3 linked regions of the Oreochromis niloticus genome follow. The main gene of each other region encodes a partner of the protein of the gene in region 3 in a complex. Links are inferred from orthologs where the notes say so. Each region holds a gene or a part of one and is shown on either strand. Other genes may lie near its edges.

What was found.
Region 1: mbtd1 (region 3) and vps72a share a complex: the UniProt entries of both Homo sapiens proteins name them as parts of the nuA4 histone acetyltransferase complex. The link is inferred for Oreochromis niloticus from reciprocal best matches to the Homo sapiens genes MBTD1 and VPS72.
Region 2: mbtd1 (region 3) and ing3 share a complex: the UniProt entries of both Homo sapiens proteins name them as parts of the nuA4 histone acetyltransferase complex. The link is inferred for Oreochromis niloticus from reciprocal best matches to the Homo sapiens genes MBTD1 and ING3.

Annotation. Positions count from the first base shown.
Region 1 is NC_031985.2:19,712,420-19,719,994, forward strand, and holds the start of vps72a (vacuolar protein sorting 72 homolog a), read right to left. Parts: upstream 3,034-7,575; 5' UTR 2,751-3,033; coding exon 2,634-2,750; intron 361-2,633; coding exon 208-360; intron 1-207. Other genes in the region: leucine-rich repeat and immunoglobulin-like domain-containing nogo receptor-interacting protein 1, read right to left, coding at 4,047-5,876. UniProt on the Homo sapiens protein: Deposition-and-exchange histone chaperone specific for H2AZ1, specifically chaperones H2AZ1 and deposits it into nucleosomes.
Region 2 is NC_031981.2:22,999,845-23,007,720, reverse strand, and holds the start of ing3 (inhibitor of growth protein 3), read right to left. Parts: upstream 3,021-7,876; 5' UTR 2,889-3,020; coding exon 2,861-2,888; intron 2,720-2,860; coding exon 2,648-2,719; intron 464-2,647; coding exon 363-463; intron 288-362; coding exon 222-287; intron 1-221. Other genes in the region: tspan12 (tetraspanin-12), read left to right, coding at 4,483-4,632, 5,055-5,137, 5,320-5,455, 6,611-6,676. UniProt on the Homo sapiens protein: Component of the NuA4 histone acetyltransferase (HAT) complex which is involved in transcriptional activation of select genes principally by acetylation of nucleosomal histones H4 and H2A.
Region 3 is NC_031973.2:29,982,598-29,990,051, reverse strand, and holds the start of mbtd1 (MBT domain-containing protein 1), read right to left. Parts: upstream 3,035-7,454; 5' UTR 2,874-3,034; coding exon 2,853-2,873; intron 1,220-2,852; coding exon 1,015-1,219; intron 377-1,014; coding exon 243-376; intron 156-242; coding exon 41-155; intron 1-40. Other genes in the region: tdrkh (tudor and KH domain-containing protein), read right to left, coding at 3,949-4,004, 4,532-4,586, 5,092-5,202, 5,306-5,457, 6,976-7,040. UniProt on the Homo sapiens protein: Chromatin reader component of the NuA4 histone acetyltransferase complex, a multiprotein complex involved in transcriptional activation of select genes principally by acetylation of nucleosomal histones H4 and H2A.

The sequences.
Region 1 (7,575 bases), on a different chromosome or scaffold from region 3:
TGCAACTGTATGCATGTGGGGCTGAAGGACAACACAGGGATTAAAAGAAAGGTGCTAAATAGTACTTTTCCTTTTTCTTTTTTTAAGGGAAAACCAAATAGTTTCCATCTTTGTGTTTCAAATCCGCAGCAAAGTGATACATGATGACACATGGTATTAGGGCAATTGAATTCAGCTTAACTCAAAGTTTGATTGGTCCTGCAGTACCTTGTAAGCTTTGGTGACAACCCGGCTTTTCCTCCGAGGTGCGTCCTCCTCCTGGTCACTGTCCGGCTCGTCACCTTCATCGATGTCGAAGTCACTGTCAACTTCGTCCTCTGTATCTGAATGTTCTCCGTGATACTCATCATCTCCCGATTCCTGAAAGACAAAAAAAAGGAGCAATAAATAAAATCAGGAAAAGAACAACAGAACAAACCATCTGCAAGTAATCTGAGACATAACAGCAAACACCAAATTTCCCCTGCATTTTTTCTAAGTGTAGTTTTCAGGCCTATTGATTAAAATCTCACACATTTCTATCTGGCAAGTGTGTAGCAATGTATTCAAAGTCACATCCCATTAAGAGATTTAATAATAAACAGGTTATTTATTTTTATTAAAGATGTTTTCCCTCATTGTCAAAGCTACATCACAAAACTCAAGCAAAACTCAAACTCAAGCCTTAAGCCCAAACCAGGTGCAAAGATAAATAAAATAACACAAATGCATTATGCGCACTAACAATGTGAATTTTCAAATTTATTAAAACAAATGTGGGTCATTTTGAAACCCAACATCCAATGACAGGAAAGATTTAGAAAGCAGCACAAGACAAAAATATCCCTGAAAACTGCACAGATAAAGGATGCGTGTGCACACACAGGCACGTTCACAGTGCTTTATCAAAGTCCCAGCAGAGATGACTGAGGCATCTCAGGATCTGTTTGTGATTTTTTTATGAAGCCACTCTTGTCAGAACTGCCAGAGCTGCCGGTGCCAAATCCCCCTACACAAGGTGGCCCCTGAACCAGCAGCTGTTTGAAGAAAATTAGCCACACTGTAAATTGAGGAAACAAATTAGCATCTTCAAAAGCAAGCCATAACGTGTGAGATTGCTACAGCATCAAATGTTCTGACAAACAATATCACACAACTTTCTTCTCTCTTCAAGCGTGAAGCGGGAAAAGCTGGCATCATCTAGGCTCTGTTTACAGCTGGTGTTCAAACTATAATTGTAAGGCCAACTCTAAACTAAGCCATGGTCACCATTTCGAATGAACAGTGGCAAGACACACTCATTTTTAGATGTGTCCTTTTAATTCACCTCATTTCTCTTATAGTTCCAAAACTGTACTCTCAGATCTGAGAACCCCAGCCTAATGACGAGCTTTCTCCATTTATCTTTCCATTTTGTGCTGCTAATCCAGGTCCAGGTAATAGGCGCAGCAGTGTTAGTAGAGAAGCCCCAGACCTCCCTCTACCGGGTCTGCTCCAGGGCCACCTCCTGCTAATACACACTCGAAACACCTCCCCTAGGAGGCATCATAATCCAATTCTTGACCCACCCCAACCGGCTCCTTCTGATATGTAAAGTAGACGCTATACTGAAATCACTGAACTCCTCATTCTTTCTCTAAAGCCCAGACACCATTTGGAGGAAACTGATTTCTGACGCTTGCATTTGCAATCTCGTTCTTGCCCACAGCTCGTGGTCATAGCGAGGGTAGGAACACAGATCGACTGGTAAAATCGACAGCTTCGCTTTCACACTCAGCTCAGTTTTCTCTCTTGTCAAAATCCAAAATCTGATGAGATTGTTTTTCAACATCACTACGGAAATGATGGCAGGAATGGTTACTGTTAAAAATCACAATCAAACATGACTCCCCAATTACCAGTGAGAGTTAATTCACTTTTGAACCACAGCCTCAGCCTAGTAGAGAGGAAGTAAGTGCTTTCAGTGATGGACTGCTAAATTTATTTTTTACTGCTAAATTAATTAATTAATTTATTTTATTGGATTTATACAAAATCCAATAAACCCCAACAAATTAATAAAAATAAATAAATAAATACATTTAATTGATCTGCCCTAGCAAGAACCTGATAAAACTAGAATAGCTTTTAAAATTGCTGTTTACATGCACATAACCCTTTAGTCAAGAGTTTCCTGACAAACTCTTTAAAAGTATTGAAGTATAATGCAGCAGCCCTGCCATATATGATACTCTCATTAGGATTTAATATTAAAATAAACGTGTGAAGACGTGCTGGCTTGTCTAAAAGGTCTGGATCGTGTAATGCTGTGAGAGTCTGATTTATATCAGTGAGACCCACTCCCAGTCATGTCAGTCTCAAAATCGTGAGAGATGTCTCCTGTACTAGTGCATGGTCAGTAGCCTGGCAGAAACTAAATTCTTCCGTTATACTAATTTGTAAATAATATAAATGTATAAATATAAAAGTGAGTTGGCTGCTTGCTTCATTGTCAGGCAGCAAATAGACATGAACCAAATTCCCTAAAAACGAGAAGCGGTAATTCAGGTATTGCGCGCAGAACAAACTTTGTTTTTAGGCTCTAGTCATTAACACTGGAGCCGGCTAATGCTAACTCTTTATCGCGCTCTGTGTTTATCAGTTTGGTTACTCACATCGTTGAACCCTCCGTAAGTGGTCTTGTAGAACTCATCCTCTTCTTCAGCATCCAGTAGTTTGGACATACGGTTTCCCGCAGTCTTTCTGGGTTCGCGGCCAACTGCGAGGCTCATGATTGTGCTTTCCAAACTATGCTAATCAATGCTAAGCTACTTAGCTCGTTATGTTACGCTAAAAGATATAGATCGTTTTGCGGGAACCTCTTTGACCTCGTCGTTACTCAGTATATTTGCTTAATTGTATGTAGGTGCCCATATTTGTAGACCCTTTTAAATTCAAGGGATACTTTATAATTTTTCTTATAAGAGGCGATAAACACTGACAAATGAAATGTACAACTGACCGGTAGCTCTCGTTTAGCAAGCAACCATATCCGGGACTGTTGATCTACTTCCGGGCTAGCGGGCGGACTAACAGTTTATTTTAGTTGTCTGGCTTGACATGGAAAAAAATAATCAATTACGCAGTTAATGCGAAGCTTCTATTAGGAAATATTTTATTCAAAAATTGAATAACTGTTTCAGGAAACTGTGAGGTATGTGTGCGTATGCGTTGTCATGGCAACTCTGTAATTTTTGTAAGCACGATAATGACTGCACTACTCAGCAGTCTCTATCTACTGTTAAAGTCATTTATTTATTACGCATTTATTTATTATATTTGTTTATTGTTAGCCTGAACTAAAAATTATATCCACCCCTTACCGTTTTAGTTGTCAGTTATTGCAGCCAGCTCCACTCACCGGTGAAGGTAAGTTAAGTATTACGGTCTACTTGCCCACAATGTAAGTACAAAACTGCTTATGGAGATTTTTTAAACCTTGCAGTTCAAATATAGACGCATTAAACCAAGTGCTGTGTGTGCTGCTCCTCACTGGATGCTGTAGTGCTGTAAATTTTTAAGTAAGTACACCAAATTTGTGAAAGCATAATCACTTTAATTTTTCCAAGTTCTTGGATAGCAGAATTTTTAAAAAAACAACCAACTTGCATTTCACACATTTATTAAATAATAAACAGTGCAGAAATTAATCAAGAAAAAACAACATGCTACAGAAAAGAAGCTACACAATAACCTGCACATTAACCTTAATATAAGGTTAATACCCCTATTGTTAGATTCTCCATATCTCATCAGTCCAAATAGTCCACCCGAAGTCCAATGTAACTGTTATTTTAAGTTCACTCTTTAATTTATTTTATCCTCATTTCCTTATTTTTTGTGTTTCAAGATAAACATGATCATGGTTTGTCAGGTCACATTTCTTAAATGCAATTTAAAATACTATTAATTAAGATTTCATGCTCATTATTATCAGATTCAAGCAAAAAACAAATAAATTGAAGCATCTTGCAGTTTATTCACTGATACCTACTCATATCAGGTGAATATATTCTTTGCTTATTGACTCATAACAGCTTCATGGTAAACCTCCCCGTTTCCATATAGCTGCTTGTCCCTCCATTACTGCTCGACATGGCGCTTCGTGGCACATACGCGATCGTGGCTGTGTGTTTTATCTGACCTTTGCCCTTACTCCAGAAGAACATGAAAATGAAACAAACACTCACAGAGCTGAAAAATGAGAGAAACCCTATGGTTGCTGCTATCAGTAGCGTCTTTACATCAAAATGGAGTTTCTGATTTCCATTCACACCTGGAGCAGCAGATGGAAAGGCAGACCAACCTTTAAGACGAAATGGTTTCTTAGAAGATGATGGAAAGGTTTGGACATGAAGGCTAACGGGCAGGCTGTCGTTTCCCGCTGCGTTTGATGCCACGCAGAGATACTTGCCACTGTCTTGAGGCTGAGCATAGCGAACCTCCAGCGAGCCATTGGACAGAGCTCGTACTCTGCCGATGGGTGATAAAGATCTTAGCTGTGGGTTTAGCCATCTGACAGATGGCAGAGGGTCACCTTCGGCACTGCAGTGAAACACCACTGTGTGTCCCTGATCTACTTTCATCACCTGAGCTTTGCGGTTCAGAATTCGAGGTGGCCGACAGGTGAGCAAATCCGGCAGCTCAGCCTCAGGGAAATCCAGAAAATTCCAGCCCTGCAGCTGGACTGAGGTAATGCAAGTTGGCGGACTTTCACCAAAGTCCATGTAGAGTCGCCTTTGCACCACCCAAAGCAAACGGCAGTCACATGCCAGTGGGTTGTTATCAAGCCCCAGAGTTCTTAGGGTGTCCACTGAATAAAAAGCTCCAACCTCAAGTGTGGTAAGATGGTTTCTGGATGCATTCAGCAATCTGAAGTGGGCCAAACCCTTGAATGCTCCGATTTCAATCCTAAGCAGCGATCCCCCAACAAGATGTAACTCTTGGAGCCGGAGCAAGTCTCCAAGAAGGTTTGCATGAATGTAGGTGATGGGGTTAAAAGAAAGGTCAAGGTATACGAGATATACAAGGTGATGTAAAGGGATGTAGGGAAAGGCACTTAGGTTGCCATGTTTAATGGTTAGTGATGTGAGGTTTAAGCCAAAGAGACTGTTTCCTGACAGACTCTCCAGCCAGGGGCAATGAGAAATGACAAGTTCCTTTAGGTGGACTAGGTGGCGGAAAGAGTAGTTTGGCAGCGTAGTGAGGCCCAGTCGGTGAAAACTAAGGCTTCTCAGCACGCTAAGTTGTGTGAGCGCCTCTGCTGGCATAGCAGTTAGGTTGCAGCCATCAAGGTGCAGCTCCTGCAGACTGGTTAGTCCTGTAAAAGCTTGATGAGAGACATAAACCAAGTCATTATCTGCAGCTTTCATGAACCGCAGGGCGTTTAATTCACTGAAAGTAAAGTCGAGGAAAACAAGAAGCTGATTGCTGCTTACGTCCAGTAACTGGAGGTTTGTTAAGCCAGCAAACGCTCCCACTGGGATAATCTTCAGATGATTGCGACAAAGGCGCAGAGTTCTCAGACTCTGCAAGCCAAGAAAGGCTTCCACTTCAATTATTACCAAAAGATTGTCACTTAAATCCAAGTCCGACAGCTGTGTCAGCGTGTGGAACTGCTGACGCACCAAAGTCTTGAGTGTGTTTTGGGTTAAGTTTAGCAGCCTGGCTTCCTGTGAGAGACCATCAGGAACTCTGGTAAGTTGGCCACCAGAGCAGTTCACTTCCAGCGCCGTAGCGTTACAGTGGCAGGATGGCGGACACAGCCAACGCGTCTCAGATGTCAAAGCCACCCCTGCTGCCAGCAGGTAGAGAGCTCCCCAGCAAAGCCGTTGGTGGACGGCGCTCCTCTCGAACATCTGGTGACCTGTGTGTACGAGTGAGGGGATAGATAAAGTGAATCACAGGTGAAAGGAGTCATGGGTCTTTCTGTATACATTTTTTTAATCTTAAATTATTATTTTTGTATCACCACTGCCAGTTAGGAATAGAGAAAAGAAGAATTGGATGTCAACTTGTCACATGGATGGTGGCAGAGATCTCTTGATTGGGTTAAATCCACTTTATCTTATGCCAGTCTGACTTTAATTCAGTTTAAACTCTACATAGAATACACTTTAATTTACAAAAACCTGTTTAACACAAGCGATGAATGTGGCAGATGTTCATTTGATCCTCGTTCTTTGATTTACTCCCTAAAACTCTCAAACTCCTCCTTTGAGCTCTATGTGCCAGAAGAATTTACATCAACAGGGAAAGTATTAAAGTGCCTCACTTCAGTGGAAGGAGACAAAGCTTCCCCACTCTCATAATTCCATGGCTAAAAGAAATAATGTTGTTCCTACACAACATTAAGTATAGTGTCGGGCGGGCTCCAACAGTTTTTGTGTTTTTGTTGTGTGTGTGTGTGGTTTTTGTTGTTTTTTTTTAATAAAACTTGGTATTCAGCTCTTTCGTTGCTCATCTCCATTCCAGCTCCCTCTCTAGAAGATTAACTAAATGGCTCTAATTAGGATAAACAGCAAATGTGACTATTTGATTCAGTCACGATGCTGAAAGAAGCCACTTATCCTCAGTTATGTGGCAATATGGTTGCCAAGCACTTGGCACGATACGTACGTCTTCTTTTCTTTCTATTTATTAATTTGCTTGTCTAAGCGTTTTAGACACCACCACCCCCCCACACACCCCCAAATATGAAGAGAACACAATTAATACGATTTGTGGTCTTCTATGGGAAAAATTATCACTCCTGCATGATCATGCATTTTGACTAGATAAGCCAATAAAGATGAATGTGAAAAAAATAGATTTATAATTTTAAATCCAAGCCATAATAACATTACACAAAGACCTTTAATGTATATTGAAAAAGAACAATTTATTACACGTGGAAAAAGTTTGTTCGCTCGTAACTAAACCCACTAGTTAATAATGTGATCCTTTTGTTCTTGACAAACAGGAGGTGTATATGGAAACAGCTCGTACCCCTGCAGACTTGTAAGGTGATATTTTGTCGTTTATTTCACACAAGAGTTAAGGAAAAAAAAAACCTTATAGGACCTCAGGTGTTCTGATAGAGTTTCCTTTATTTGTAGTCCTGGAAATATTGAGAAATGTGCTTTTGACTGACTTTAAGTGTTAATAATTTCAGATCATATAATACCTTTCATTCATCAGTTTCATAATTTTTCTCCTTTATCCTCACTGATGTGACATTTAGGCCAGATTCACATCTGAAGTACTTTCCAAAATCATCCGTCTGAAACCTCGACACCTGAGCGATTCACTGAGGGAGGCTGGGAGTTGAAAATCTGAGCTCATTATTTTGTTACAGTTCTCAAAGCTCAGCGACAAACCTCCACACTGTGGATTAGTTTAAAAAACACATTCCCCTCTAATGTAAACAACCAACGACAAAATAAAGATATTAAATTAAGATTTTAACTTCTCGGTGAATTGATATTGCAGTTCATTCAACAGAATCCATCTCCTCTGTCTGAGATTATCGCTTCACCGCTTCTCCTTTATCTGTTGAGTGTTACCAGACAAAAGTTG
Region 2 (7,876 bases), on a different chromosome or scaffold from region 3:
GTATCATTCAGTGATAGTGACAATGCTCTCAGACTGCAGGATAAGTAACTCCTTGTGGTTTTTTAGTGGCTCTTCAAGGCTCTTTCTGCCATCTAGTGGCGGCTGTGTGGAATAACTGAGGGTTCCTCAGATTTCTACATGTTAAAGCCGTTTAAGCCTAAATGTGCACCTTTACCATTCTGTGATCACCTGAGTGACACCTGAAGGAAACCTTTACTCACCAGGTCATAGATCTGATTGGCCAGCTGGACTTTCTCATCTGCATCTTCCAGAGCTTTGTAGTAATCCTAAGAACACACGCAGGTTTAACCCAAGATCCACACACACACGCACAGAAACAAGAAGAATCCGCCACCTCTGACCTTTTTAATGACCTCCATCTGCTCCTCCCTCCACTCTGGTTTGTTCTTCTTGGCGTTTACAAAGAACTCAATGACCTTCTGCTCCAGCTGATCCGTGGCATCTGAAGGAACAAACAGGAAACAACGTGAGAAAATGCAGCACTCAGCATTTTAACATCACGTGTGTAAAGTCTGAGTGCGGCCCTCCCTCAGGTGTTTCCTCTCTGGTGAACTGCAGACTTATTCTGAGCCTGGAGATCACCTTTGGACTGTAGCTGTAATGAAATCAGAGCTGAGGACTCACCTGGCCCACACTCCCTCATGTGATTTGTTTCTGAGTGTTTCCTGCCAGCTGAAACCTGCAGCAGTGAGTGTGCCATGTGTGGATAATATTTGTCAGATTTTGTTGATTACTGATTGGATATGCTCTCTGACCTGACCTGCTTCAATGGTGCAGTATAAATAAAGTTTGATTTTAACTTTATTTCTCCAGCTCTCACTCAGTGAGTGCTCCTGTTATGTCACAGATCTGTGTCTCTGAACCAATGTGATTAAAACTGAAGTGGTTTCATCATCACTTTAAAGTTATATAGAGTCTGTGCATTTTTAAGACCAACTGAAAACGCCCACGGACCGAGGCTGACAACTTCACACAGCTCAGTCTGCTGATCCTAAAGACCAATAAATAACCTGAAAACCACCAGGATCTAATATAAGAGCAGAATTATGCTCTAATGAAAATGAAAAAAATTGTGTAAAAAGCATTTGCAGCAACAAAACCATAGTATTCCAGAAACACGCTTTGCTAATTACGATGAGCGCATCCGCCATTACCTACCTGAAACCAGAAGTGGCATCATCTTCGCGGAAAATGTAGTTTTTTTTTCCTATAGGGCATTTACAAAGATATGCTGGTGGTTTTAAAATTCATGTTTATGGCTTTCTGTACAGTTTCTGGGATGCTTAGAACTCAAATTACACTGCTGGAAATAGTTTATGTTGATGCACATGCTGTTTTTTGCAAATTTGCATTACAATATTTACTTTTGTTTTTCCTACAGTATATAAAAATTTGTGTATGTCAAAAATAAAACTATGAATACACTCAAAATAAATTTCCTGTGGTTGGAAACTATTTTGTGCAACTTTTTTGCATTTACAGTTTTGAGGGATATACCCCTGAAATTTCTCTAACTAGAAATATGTGTAAAAAAACAACAACAAAAAAACAAAAACAATTGTACATTCTTTTGTAGTTTATTGCACTTTTTTGCAATTCATGTAGTTACTATAGCAACTTGAAATACTCACAAAAAATGGCACTACAGCATCTAAAAATATGAAGATAAGCTCTGGCAGACTTGGTTTTATGGTAGGTCTTAAAGGGTTAATATCCTGAGGTTTAAACAGATAGAAAAATGACAGCAAAGTGTCCAGCAATACTGGACCTGTATTTATTTGGTATTGGATCAATACTGAAATCTGCAGTATCACACAGCACTAGCGCCCAGCACAGGCTCATTCAGAGTATCCCTAACACTGATTTATTATTACACCTTTCAGAGTCGCGTTTATAACACTGTTACAACATTGTTCTTTTTTTTCTGGCTGCACACACAAACGTTTAGAAAGTGGTTTAATTTATCTAAGTCTAAGTCCAATTAAATTTGTGTCAGTGATTGAAACAAAATATTTTAGAGGAAATGATTACTATTTTAATAATCCTTCATTTTAAATTTCAGTTCAAAATTAATTTTGTTCAGCAACTTAATTTACCAAAACATATTTTACTAAAACCTTTTTTTTTTTAAATTTAAACTTAACCCCCCCCCAAATATTTACAGAAATCCTGTTAAATAATCTCAGTTTAGACCAAATATAACTGATTATTTTTTTTATTTATAAAGTGTTAAAATGATGATCAGGACCTCATGTGAGCGTCTAACAGCGATAATCATTTTAAAGTTGCTTTATTAGCAACTTTACTTTTCATGTGCATGAATGTGAACTTTCGGATCGGCAGTGTTAAAGGGGAGGGGTCCCTGTAGGTAGGTGAATGTGACCCTGCAGGTGGATGCTGTGCTGCAGTCTCATGCTGGTATCTACTGGGTTTCAGCCCGTTAGCCGCCTGTGCTAACATGTGCTAATTAAGTAAGCGCAGCTCGGGCGTTCATCGGCGCCGGGACGCGACTCTGTTGCTTGGACAGTCCCAGCAGGGCTGCCACTATGTGTGCATTCCGCAGCACGCGTGTCCCCGGTGTGGTGTGGCCGGTGTGTGGCGCCGTTGGCGGCGGGGTTGTACGTACTCTGAACCTGCAGGTCCATCTCCCTCATTTCCGTAAACCTGTCGCGGAGATCCATGGGTAGCTGCTCGATCACTGCCAGGAGAAGAAAAGGCGGTTACCTGCTAGCACGGCTAGGCTAACTGCCGGAGCCGACCTAGCCGGTAAATAACACATATTTAACGCGCAGCAGAGCCCTGTCACACCGCCGCCGCTTCGTTGCAGTCCCATACTCACTCTCCAGGTAGTCCTCCAGGTACAGCATCGTGTTTAATTTAAGCTTTCAGCCGTTTTCTCCGACAATTCTCTGCTTTCAATATGGCGCCGCCTGCCAACGTCTGCCCAGAAAAAATACCCAGAAAAAAGGAGGTCATGGATGCTGACGCAAACGTCTGCCTGCGCTCTGATTGGTTCAAATACAGGCAGGCGTTGACAGGACAGATGCATCATGGGAATTGTATTTGTATTTACATTTATTTACGTCTTTTAGGCAGTACAGTAATCCTTTATTTATTTATTTATTTGCAAATAAAAAGCAAGAGGGTTGTTTTTCTCAAGCCTTGTAAAATATTTCATTTCGACTGCACATTTACACAAAGCTTTGGGACATTTTTTTACCTGAAAAATTGCATTAATGACCAGCTGAAAATTATATTTACTTTTCTACAAAAATATGTGGACAGAAACAACTAAAGAGATAGTAAGAATATATCCATCTCACCACCATTTCTGTTCAGATATGTTTGTTCATGTATTAAATATTAGATTTGTGCGTTGTGGTACTAATTTAACACATTTAAAGTATGTGGACAAACAGTATAAGCTGTATGGTAACTTCTGTCCACATTCGCTTGTGTTTTCACACATGTTCGGCTGTTAATTAAACATATCCCACTTCATGTGACTATAATTATTCATGAACCGAGCAGCGATTCTATTTTAATGATCATATATTAATTATAAGTTCTTATCATTGATTTTAATAACTTTAAAATGAGTGTACATGTTAGTCTATATACTTTTGGGTATATATATTGTTTTAGATTAGTGTTATAAGAACCATCCATTTACCATTTAGATAGCCAATCACATGCATTCACATAATTTTGATCACAAGTGTGAGCAGAAAAACAAACAGGCAGCCTAAATGGCCAAAATTATGTAGACACAAACGATATGTCTTACTGTATTTCCGTGGAAGTTTATGTCCACATACTTTTGTCATACATTTTTCTTTCTACGTCTTTATGTTCAGTGTCCGGCAGTCCCGTGTGTAACACAATAATATATGTGCAAATAGTCAGAAAGTATGTGGAAAATAATTACAAGGTAGCCTAAAATAAGTGTCCACATAATTTCGGGACAAAAAGTGCTGCTGCAAAGAGTTTATGACCAGAACTATGTGGACAAACACTCCAAGCGCTGTGTGTTTCCTGCAGCTTCATCCTCTCAATCTCGGCCTGCTGACCCCACGGCTGTGCGGCTGGAGGCGGACACATTCCTCTGTCCTCCCCCCGGACGCTGTGAGGGAGGAGGCGGAGCTGCTGCTGCTTTAATTAGTGAAGAAGGAGCAGCAGGAGGAGCAGAGGAGCGGACGGTTCGGATTGTTACGCAGCAGACTGCCGGAGCTCTGTGTGTGTGTGTGTGTGTGTGTGTGTGTCCGTGTATTTTGTGACAGTCTGGATCTGTGCGGAGGTGTGCGGACAGCGGTGACCGGTTCGGAGCGTGCGCAGTGAGGACCACCTGCTGCTGGTCACCGAGCGGGCCAGGGCGCGCGGGGACGGAATGCGGGTTTCACGCACGGAGCACGCGCAGTTCCTGAGCGCTCCGTGCTGTGTGAGTGCAGCGAGCATGTTGCCATGGTGCCCCGGGCTCAGATGAGCGGCACGCGGAGGAGCTCCGGTCGGGATGGCTCGCGAGGACGCAGTGAGGTGTCTGCGCTGCCTGCTGTACGCGCTCAACCTGCTGTTCTGGGTGAGAGGAGCGGGCACGCGCACGACTACAAGAGTGTAATTGCCCTTTAATGATCAGTGTGTTAGAGTCATTATACTAAAGCAGTCAAACAATGCAGTATTTTACTGTAGTAACTGTAGGTACTGTGTTTAGTGGCAGTTCTGTGCATAAAGTACTGTGTGTCTAGTAGTAGTTCTTTGTCTGGAGTACTGTGTTTAGTGGTAGTTCTGTGTACAGAGTGCTGTGTTTAGTGGTAATTCTGTGTACATAGTACTGTGTTTAGTGGTAATTCTGTGTACAGAATACTGTGTTTAGTGGTAATTCTGTGTAGAGAGTACTGTTTAGTGGTAGTTCTGTGTACAGGGACAGGCAGTGCTGGGGTGAAGCAGGCCGGGTGTTCCTCGCTGCCTGCTTCACATTCTCAGATGTTATTATAGGCAGCAGAAACATATCCATGTGTTTATTTCTGTGTGTCCAGCTGATGTCAGCATGTGTGCTGGGAGTGGCGGCGTGGATCCGTGACTCTCTCAACACCGTTCTCACCCTGACGGCCCACACCAGGTGAGTCTGGCCGGGCTTGCAGCTCAGGTATGAGAGCCAACCAGGTGACAGCACCTGAAAGTTTTAATCAGCTTTATCTGACACACCTTGTCTCTGATAGATGATCCAGATGTGAACTAAACAGCTGCTTTTGTGAAGCTCAGAGCATGGAGGCTAATTCATGTGTGTGTGTGTATATGCAGGTTGGAGGAAGCTGCCGTCCTCACGTACTCTCCAGCTGTTCACCCCGTCATTGTTGCCGTGTGCTGCTTTCTCATCATCGTGGCAATGGTGGGGTACTGCGGCACGCTCAGGTGTGACCTGCTGCTGCTCTCCTGGGTACGAATGCTCACATCAGACACTTCAGACAGGATCTTTACTTTAACCAAAGACGACATTTATCTCAGATTTTACAATCAGAAGCAGGAAGTCCACGTCCTGGATTCAGCTGGCATTGAGCAGGAAACAGTCTCTGAGTGGTCTGACACATTGGGAAAAGCACAGATGAAGTCTCTGTTGTGAATCAGCCAGCAGAGGAAACATTGTTAGCTGCTCTGACTGTTGGTCAGTGTGTTACCTGTATGTTTGCATGACTGTTGATCAGTGTGTTAGCTGTGACAGGTCTACACTGAGACTGATGTCATGACACAAGCGCCCGCGGCTCCCGCCTTCCTGTGATGGGGTTGGCATTTTGCGTACACAGTGAAGTGGGAACATCAGAAACCTGGAGCTGATGTCTCTGAACCTGAAGCCCTATGAGCACTGAGGCAGACTCACCTAAGCTTCATCATAATGACACACTCCTCAGGTAGACTGAGCTCTTATCAATTGGTTCTGCTGCAGCCTATCAGAGCATCATCTGCTCACCAGCTGCTAAACAAGGTGAAGAGGTCAGCCTCTACCTCCACACGCTCCACCCGCCTCACACACCTGCATATGGGAGGATTGAGCTCAGTCCAGAGTCCACCACTGTCAGCAGGTGTGCAGGTGTATGATGTCACACACAGCCCACTCTGGACTCTCAGGTAGAGCTCACAGAGGTCACACTGTCCACCCAACTGTGTGTTTGAACTACACCACCTGTTTGCTGTGCTCTGATTGGGCAGGGCCAGGTGTTGGGTGCCCCATTGTTCCCAACAGGTGATAAGATTGTCTCCGAAAGATGAGCTGCTGAGAGGAGCTTCAGTCTGCTACAGGGACTACCCCAGGGCATGATGGGAACCCGCTCAGCCAGTTCCAACACACACACCTCAGTTAGTTGTGAGATTACATAACAGTAGATGTCACTCATGTTTGTGAGTGAGTAGGTTATTCAGGTGGACAAGGAGATAAAACCAGCTTCAGACATCACACATTACTGTGCTGCTCAGAGTTTAGAGCTGCAGACGCCTCGGGGCTGTCACTGAGGGAGGGGACGACGTCGGCTTCACGGCTTTCTGACAGAAAGGTTTTAGGTTGATTATCAGACTAAACTCGTCTCCGCCTGTGTTTCAGTACTTCGGCAGTCTGTTGGTGATCTTCTGTGTGGAGCTGGCCAGTGCTGTGTGGACCTACGAGGAGGTGAGAACATTGAAAGCTTTGAGTCCCTGAACGTGTCATGTAGTCAGACGTGAATGTGTTTAACCAACAAACCATCAGAGCAGGTAAAATTATAATCATGTTTCATAACTGAGCCTCTGTTCATGTGAAATTCTGCAGCTTTTTCTCACTGACTGATCGTCATGGCAACAAGTTTGTCAGTACGGAGTTATGGTGGTGTCGCACACATGCAAGTGTTTCTGTCCTAAACGGATCATTTCTCGCCTCATGCACCGGCTGGACTCCCGGCTTGTCTCTAATAATAATCAGGAATCTCAGACTTATCCGGCTCCTCTTTCAGCGCTGTCACGACACGCCCGTCACCTCACACCCACCTGCAAAGTACTTTAATACATCTACTCCAGTACTGCAGGGTACATTACCTGCAGTAGTTCGTAGGTCAGTGAGTGTCAGACTCACGCTAACGATAACAAAATAAATATTGAAGGCTTGCTCCTCTGGGAGAGCTCAGAGAGCCTTGAGCAGCGCTTCCTGACTCGTTGCTTACAGCCTGAGCTTTTCCTGCTGATTTCTCAAAGTTCTCAAAGTTTCAGGTGATCTTCAAACTTTATAAACAACAAACTAAAGAAAAAATCTGATTGGCTCAATCAGATTTTAGGGGTGACAGAATATGTTCTTTAGTTTGTTGTTTATAAAGTTTCATTTTGAATGCTGTCTTTGAAGCACAACAGTTTGAGCCAGCCTTTGAACTCTGACCTCAGGCTCATCTTTTATCTCTGGATCAGCTGCCTGCAGGGGGTTGTGGGTATCGTAGTGAAGTTTTTTTTTTCTTTATCAGTCGAGCAGACACTCACACATGGACCTCAGGTTGGTCCCTGTTTGGGGGGTTGCAGTAAAAACCTGAAGTTCTGAGTGTGTGAGGCCTCAGGCTCACTGTAGTGTGTTTTGGGTTTGTTGTGTGGAAAGTGGCTGGAATTCTTGCAGTACAGAGGAGGAGGAAGGTAAAATCAGAACGAAACAAAAGCCAAAACACGGCAGTGCAGAAGAACTGGACAAAGGACACGAGTAGACTGAGATGATAAATACCGGAGGTAATGAGGCCAGCAGAAGGAACAGCTGGCAGTAATCACAGGACGAGGCAGGGGAAGTAAATACAAAGCACAGCTGACAACAGACTACCAAAGATAAAACGAGTAAACAGGCGACAGACACACACATACA
Region 3 (7,454 bases):
GAAATATGAGCCCCATCATGATTGCTTTTTCACAGCCTACCTGCTTTCAGTTTGGCCTGGTTCTGTTGACTTGCTTGGTACTGGGCATAAGCTGCCAACTTTGCCATGAGAGGCTGTTTCTGTAAGACTTTGGCCTTTTTTGTTGGTGGTTTGCCCTTGTAAAAATCAAAGCAGATGTTAATATTTACACAATACAAAATTATGAAACTACTATACTTTTTTATCAAAGATAATGAATTTACCTGGAGTCTTGCCAAGATGCTAGCTTTTTTAGAATTTGAGGAATAACTCCTAGAACAGGACACACTGCAGAAACGCTTGGTTTTGGAGTAAAAAGCATCTCGTACACCGACCATCCCACACATCTCACAGGTGGCTGTGAAAACAAACCGAAATACATCAGCAGTCTACAAATGGTAAATGGCATTTATAGTTATCTCCATAAGTATTTGGAAATTGACACAATTGCAATTTTTGCTCTGTACGTGGTAAATGGACTGGTTTTTATATAGCGCCTTTCTACTCTGAATACTAAAAGCTCTTTATAAATCTTTCCTCATTCACCCATTCACATCCAATCGCACAAGTACTTTTTTCTAGGCACTTTCTATGCAAGTTCTTCCTACCCAACATTCATACACATTCATTGTCCGGTGGATGCATCGGAGAACAACTTGGGGTTATTATCTTGGCCAAGGATATTTGGCATGTAGAATGGAGCAGAAGGGGACCGAGCCACCCCATCACTACAGTGGATTTTAAATTAACCAAATGTGATTTAAATGAAAATTTTTAGATTTAATTCAAAGGGTATACCAAAAGTAATGCATTAACTGTTTAGGTAATTCAATATCTTGGCCAAGGATATTTGCACATATGAACGTTGAGGAGCTGAGGCTCAAACTAATAATCGTTATACTTCCTGAGCCACAGCAGCTAAACGTAAACACTATTATTGTTCACTCACAGATTGATATTTAAGCAACACACACAAAAAAAGCCTCATGTACTGACCCATTCCAGCCTTTCCATCAGGGTAGGTGTAGACTTGTCCATTGTTCTTGATGATGGGCAGACTAGCAGGGATGGAGGGTACCACCTCATCCTCACTGTCGTCTGAGCTAGAGCTGCTGGTGGACTCCTCGCTGCAGCTGTCATAGCCATCAAACATCCCGAATGAGTCTCGTCGCTTACGATCTGAACGTGGGGTACGCTCAGCCTTTACAGATGAGGACACAACAGAGAAACACTGAATGAATTCATATGGATGCTTTTAGGGGTGTCTGTAGCTCAGGAGGTTCTCCTCTCCATTTCTCCATATAATGTAACACGTTTACTTTGGCGTTGTTCAGAGAAAGCAGTGAAATTGGTCTAAGAGAAGGTAACTGTTCAGAAAAACATATTTCATTCAAGTCATTTTATTTTACTCCATTCCCTTTTGAGTTATTTTACTTTACTAAAACTTAATAAAAGAAAAATAAAGCTGCATTCTCATACTTCTATTCTTTTAAGCTATTGCACTTTATTTTAACAGCTCCTTACAAATGTCCTTGTTCTGTGGTCCTGGAGTTTAGCCACACAAACTAGCCAAACATTTGTCTTTAGTGCAGAAGGGATGCCCAGTTTTTTTATTTATTTTTTAACAGTGGCGCTCTTCAAATTAAATATACCATGGTTTTTAATATTAATAAAATTAACCTTTTCTTCAAACATATAATGGTGAAAGCACAGCAATAATAGTGCCTTAAAATAATTCTTATTACTGTTAATCTCAATCTCTGTGCGAATCAATACAAAAAAACGAAAATACTTAAAACAACTTTTGTGAGGAAGCGAGAAAGGAAATATTGCTCTAAGGCAATCTTGGGCGGTAGGAAGGGGAAGAATGGGGGAGCAGACGCAGTCTGCAATAGTTGCAAAAGAAATGGTTTGATTGCAATGGTTGATGCAAAAAATAATAATGGACCAGAAGAAAATAAAGATTCAAATCTTCTTGGTTCACATTTTTATTATTTTTTATCAATATTCTTTCCATTTTTTATGAGCATTTGTAAGATGTTTTAGACAAATGTAAACAAAAATCAACTCCCTAAGCTAAATTTTAGTATTGAAGTGAAGCTGAACTTGTTTTAGTTGAAAGATGTATTTTTACAGTTCGCCTTTCATCATTAATGCATCATTTAGATTCAGGTAGGAAAATATCAGCGAACCATATCTGAGTCAGCATGACTTTTTTCGAAACGCCCAAAAATCTCTAAATAAATGAATAAATACTACGTGAAAGTATGGAAGTCTGATCACAGGATCCGGAACAATGCGTACATGTTGTCAAAGCTAGTTTACTTCCTCTTCACAGCATCTCAGCCCAAACATTACACTACGCGCAACAGTTTAACTTAAAAAAAATAAAAAATAAAAAAAATAAATCAAGACACCCATTTCCAAAGACATCCTTTGTAAGCTACATTTTACATACATATATACTGGAAAAGTAAACTAATACCGAAACTAAAATAAGGGACGGCCTTATTACAAACACCTCCTAAAGCTAAACAGCACTAGCAGAGCTAGCTAGCAGAACCTGTTTTTCCAGGGGGGGGGTTTCAGAACAAAGCCTTTTTACGTTCGTCTATTAACGTATAGTTGCAATAGTTAGACTTGTAAGAAAACTCTACTCGTTTTTTTTTTGAGAGAGAGCGAGAGAGAGAAAAGAAAGAGCTTTAGTATTATGTGTAGATGGGTGAGCCACTAGCTGGCTATCGTAAACAGATAACAACAAAGGAGGCGTACTACCCTGAACAATCCACTGGAATCGGAGGCTCGCGGCCCAAAAATGTTTCAAACCAACTCACCAAATCCCTTGCGTTTTCCATCAGCCCTTCATATAGCTGTTCTTCCAGTTACCTGCACTTCCTAATTCAAACAAATCCCCTCACCTGGGGTATAACCTAGCTTTGAATTTTAGTCGAAATACTACCAAGCAGGATATCAACAAATTACTCTGCAGCCTCTGCGCATGAGCGACCGTAACCTACTTTCATGTGATTGGTGGATCTGCAATGGAGGTCATCGACCGATGCAGACACAAAATAATAGACTTTGCAGAGTAACTGAATGAAAGGGGCCTTCAGAACAACTACAGATTATCAGTAGGTGTAAATACAGAAACGTTACAGTAATTTCTATGGTTTTGTTTTGTTTATAACTAGCTCCTGACTTTCATTTGGAATTTTTCCATATAAAAAGAACTTCAAAATAAAATACAGTAGTACATGTGAAGTAAAATAAATATTTTATTAGGATATAGTGACATTATTACATTTTCGAAGACAATCTTTCTTGTGAAAGATTTCTACAGTAGATGCAATATATTCACATTGAACAAAATCTGAGAACCACATTCAATAACACTTTAGCTTTTAACTTCCAAAATATATTCACTTAAGCCTGATAATGGGCATAGTTTTTTTGATATACATACAAGTACAGCAAGAAACTAAACAATATTAACCACAAACCAAATGAACTTTGCTCCAGTAATTCCAATCACAGTGCTTTTCAGTAATAATACTGGCATTCTAGATTTATTCTTTTCCCTGTTCCTTGAACACAAAATTTGGCAAAGCAGAACGAAACATTAAACAAAAAACAAAGAATTATTTGCTGAAGTAACAACAACAAAGTGATAATGGCTGGAAGAACTGCTGCACACTCATCAAGTAGGTAAGGCTTCAGGAAGAGGGTTTATGTAATCAAGTTTAGGTTTAGGTTAGGCAAAGCTCTACATCATCATTAGGGCTGATGCTGAGGAGTAGATGTTGAGGACTGCTAAAGAAAAGTTCATCATTTTTAGACATAATGGTTCACACAAGAGCGTTCACTAGCAAATGTTCAGAATCAGACATCAAACTGGGAGAAGATACCTTGGTTTTTTGAATATCTTTGGTCTCACAGCAACTCGTCCTCCACAACATCATCAACACTTCCTGATATAGAGGCAGCTTCTGAGGTGCAAGAAGGAAACACTCAAGTTAACAATGACTGTAACAGCAGCTTCAACTCTTTTTGTTTATCCACCATGGTACAAAAGCTTGACAGAGTCATGGTGACACTGTCCCTTTTGTTTCACTATGTTATATTTCCTGATTTGTTGGAGATAAACTACAAATTGCACTGAATACAAGTATTCTGAGCATTAGGGTCAAGTTAATTGATCCTAACCAAAATGTATATTGTTGAGTTCATTTCTTCTTGAGACACTTTAGAAAGTTGATTTAACAGAACTGCATTCCTGTTAATTTTCCACCACATGGGGGCATACACTACCTCTCTGTAGGTTTAAGAAGTGTCCCAAGTCAAGAATCTGATCCAATGTGGACATCACTTGGATATTCTATTGTATTTAGAAACCTAGATAACATTTCTACTTCAACATACAATCCCAGTAACATAAGGGTATGAGGGTTACTTTATGATCGCTTAAACATAGTCACTGGCAAATCTCAAATTACAGTTCCATGACAGAACTCACCTGATAAACTGATACAGGAAAGACTGAGCTCTGATGATGCTCCTATTACATCATCCTGTTGGAAGAATAAAAGTGATTAGCCGCTGTTAACCAGTTCTTCAAACTTTCAGAACAGAAGTAAGGGGATTACCTAATCTCTCAGGCATAAAGATAAGTTAAAATAATAATAATAAAAAATGACAGAGTACCTTGTCGGATACAGTTGGACAGAGATTATGAAGCGCTTTGAGGCGACTTTTGTGATTTGGCGCTATATAAATAAAATTGAATTGAATTGAATTGAATGGCATCAGTCTTGCAGCCTGCAAGTCATGGCTGCAAGTCAGGGTTGTTGTCAGTCGGTGGAGGTTAACTGAGGGAGTCTGGATTCCCAAAAATTAGAATTCCACAATCATCCAAGTAGTTTTGATCTATCTCTCTGTTTAGTGTTGATTTTTCCAGGATTTTTTCCCGCTGGCTTACAGATGTCCTGTTCAAGATTAAGTATATTGATACCCTATTTTTGTCCAGGAAGAAGTAAGAGACGCTGCAAGACACAAAAAGCAGAATCAGTAACTTACCAGCATCATCTGCAGACAGCCAAGATTGCAGCCCTCTTTTTTTCCATTCAAATCTTCATGGAAGATAACGGCATAGCCCAATCGTATAAGCTCCTCTCCAACATCCACAGTCTTTTTTACATGATATGCACATGGAAAGAGGAGACAGGGTAAAGGACAAACCAAATACAGGCTTATTAAAGTCTTATTATTAAGAAATAAAATCCTATCTAACCTTGCCCTCACTGTTGTCATAGAGCTTGACACTGGGCCATGAGGAGATTTCCGAGTGAGAGTAGCTGCACAGTTTGGCCTGCAGGGGTCTCCAAGAGGCACAATATGTCAGCCTCTCAAACTGATCCAGGGCTTCCTCAGTCCAAACCCCTCCTGCATGACAGGTTGATGGAGGAAAGAGACTGAAATAATCAAGAATTCAAGAACAATGCACTGCAGAATACTAAAAGACCTCAGTATATCCTCTGCATTGATTGTGCCACCGTAACATCATCACACAGTCAGTTTTATTTATGTTCCCCAGTAAGGTAAGTCTGAGTGATATAGCGAATGTAGTTTTTTCACTTATGATGGTTAAAATGGCTCTATTGTAACCATCGAGTATAAACTGCCATGGTTATATTAAGCTGTCTGCAGTTTTTTTTCTCCCACATGCTACAAATGCATCACTAATCCCACCTCCCCAGACGTTTTTCTACCTGGCACACTGCGCTGAGCATGCGCGTTTATATACTGCCAAATAGGAAAAAATATGGTGACAGTGAGAGTCTCAGACAAGCAAGGAAATGAGACTGTAACTGAACAGGAGCCAGACAAGATAGTTCCAAAGAGAAACAGCACTGGATCAATAATCTGGCAGTGGTTTGGATTTCGCAAGGAGGATGTCGAACCTGAATGTGGAACATGGTATTTAGTACTAGTGGAAATGTGGTCACATGTCACCAAGCTTCACTCAAACCTGGAGGTGTTGACAGGCTTGTGTTGTTGGCACAGAACTTACACACCTTAAACACTGATGAGAGTGTTCTTTTTCAGGAGTACAAGTCACAATCCTTCATTATACCTTAGCTTTGTGATTATTTTACCAATATGCGTGGTGTGTTTTGTTGTTTAAAATCTAGAACAGAAAGCGCAATCATTATTTAGGTTGTTTTGAGATGCTCTAATACCTGTGACATGACTGTTGTTGTTCAGTGGTTTTTCAGGCATTGTCTGAACTTGGAACAGTTTTCCATTTTACCACTTTTTGTTGTTTAAACTTCCTAGCACATATAGAGCCGATAGTTCTGAGACACTCTGATACCTCTGACAGTTTTTGGTGAATGGCTTTTATAGACATTAACTACACTTTTGTTTCTGTAGGTCATCACATTTTACAGTTTTTATATGCTATAAGCACAGAGAACACCTTTTTAATTTCAATTGTTTCACTTTGTCTCGTGAATTCTTGCTTACTTTTTTTGTTAAAGGGTTCGTGTTGACAACAGAAAGAGACATACTGTGAGAATATTGTCATTTGTGAAAAACTTCTGTGTGCAACTGATGGTTAAAATAAAACATATTTTTTGGCTATATCACAACACATGATATATACACGACCAGACAAAAGAACGCCAAAATGGTAATGCCAGTGGACGTGATATGAATTTCACTGCACAACACAGTGTGACAGGAGGTAAGCAGTGGGCATAAAAGTGCCCTTATGTCCTCATGTACCAGCAAGTGTGTGACAAAGTGTGTATGTGTGTGTGTGTTTGGGAAAGAGTGTGTATGTAAGAGAGAGGTGTAAGAAAGAGGGAAAGGTAGTGAAAGGGTAAGAGACAGTGAGTGAATGAGCAAGTGAGAGAGAGAGAAAAAGAAAGACAGTCATTGTCAAGATGAGAGCTTTACCTTTTGGCTTCACTCCTGCTAAGCTGCACTCAATAGCTTGAAATGGTAAACTGAGGAAGTCGCTCCTGAAAATTGCAGCATATGCAAAAGCTGTTAATAAGCCATGTCCTTTTTTATCCACATTACATCCAACATTTTACAGTGTGCAGTAGCAGTATGTCACATCACAAGTTCTTCCACAGTTCGATGAAGAGGTGTACAAAGCAACACTCACAGCATGAGCTAACATAGAAATGCAGAATTTAAAATTGTGTGCTCTTTAAAATCAGTAACTCACCAGCCTCCTCTGAAGACAGCCAGTCTGTCTCATGCTGATATGACGGTCACAAACAACAAAACTGCACTTGTACCAGGTTATATTTTTCTTTGTAATACTTCAATAAAAACATTGCTGATTGTAACCCATTTCAAAGTAATGTGTTACTCTTATCATTATAATCATCATATTTGTCTGTAAAGCAGTATTATTTTGCATTATT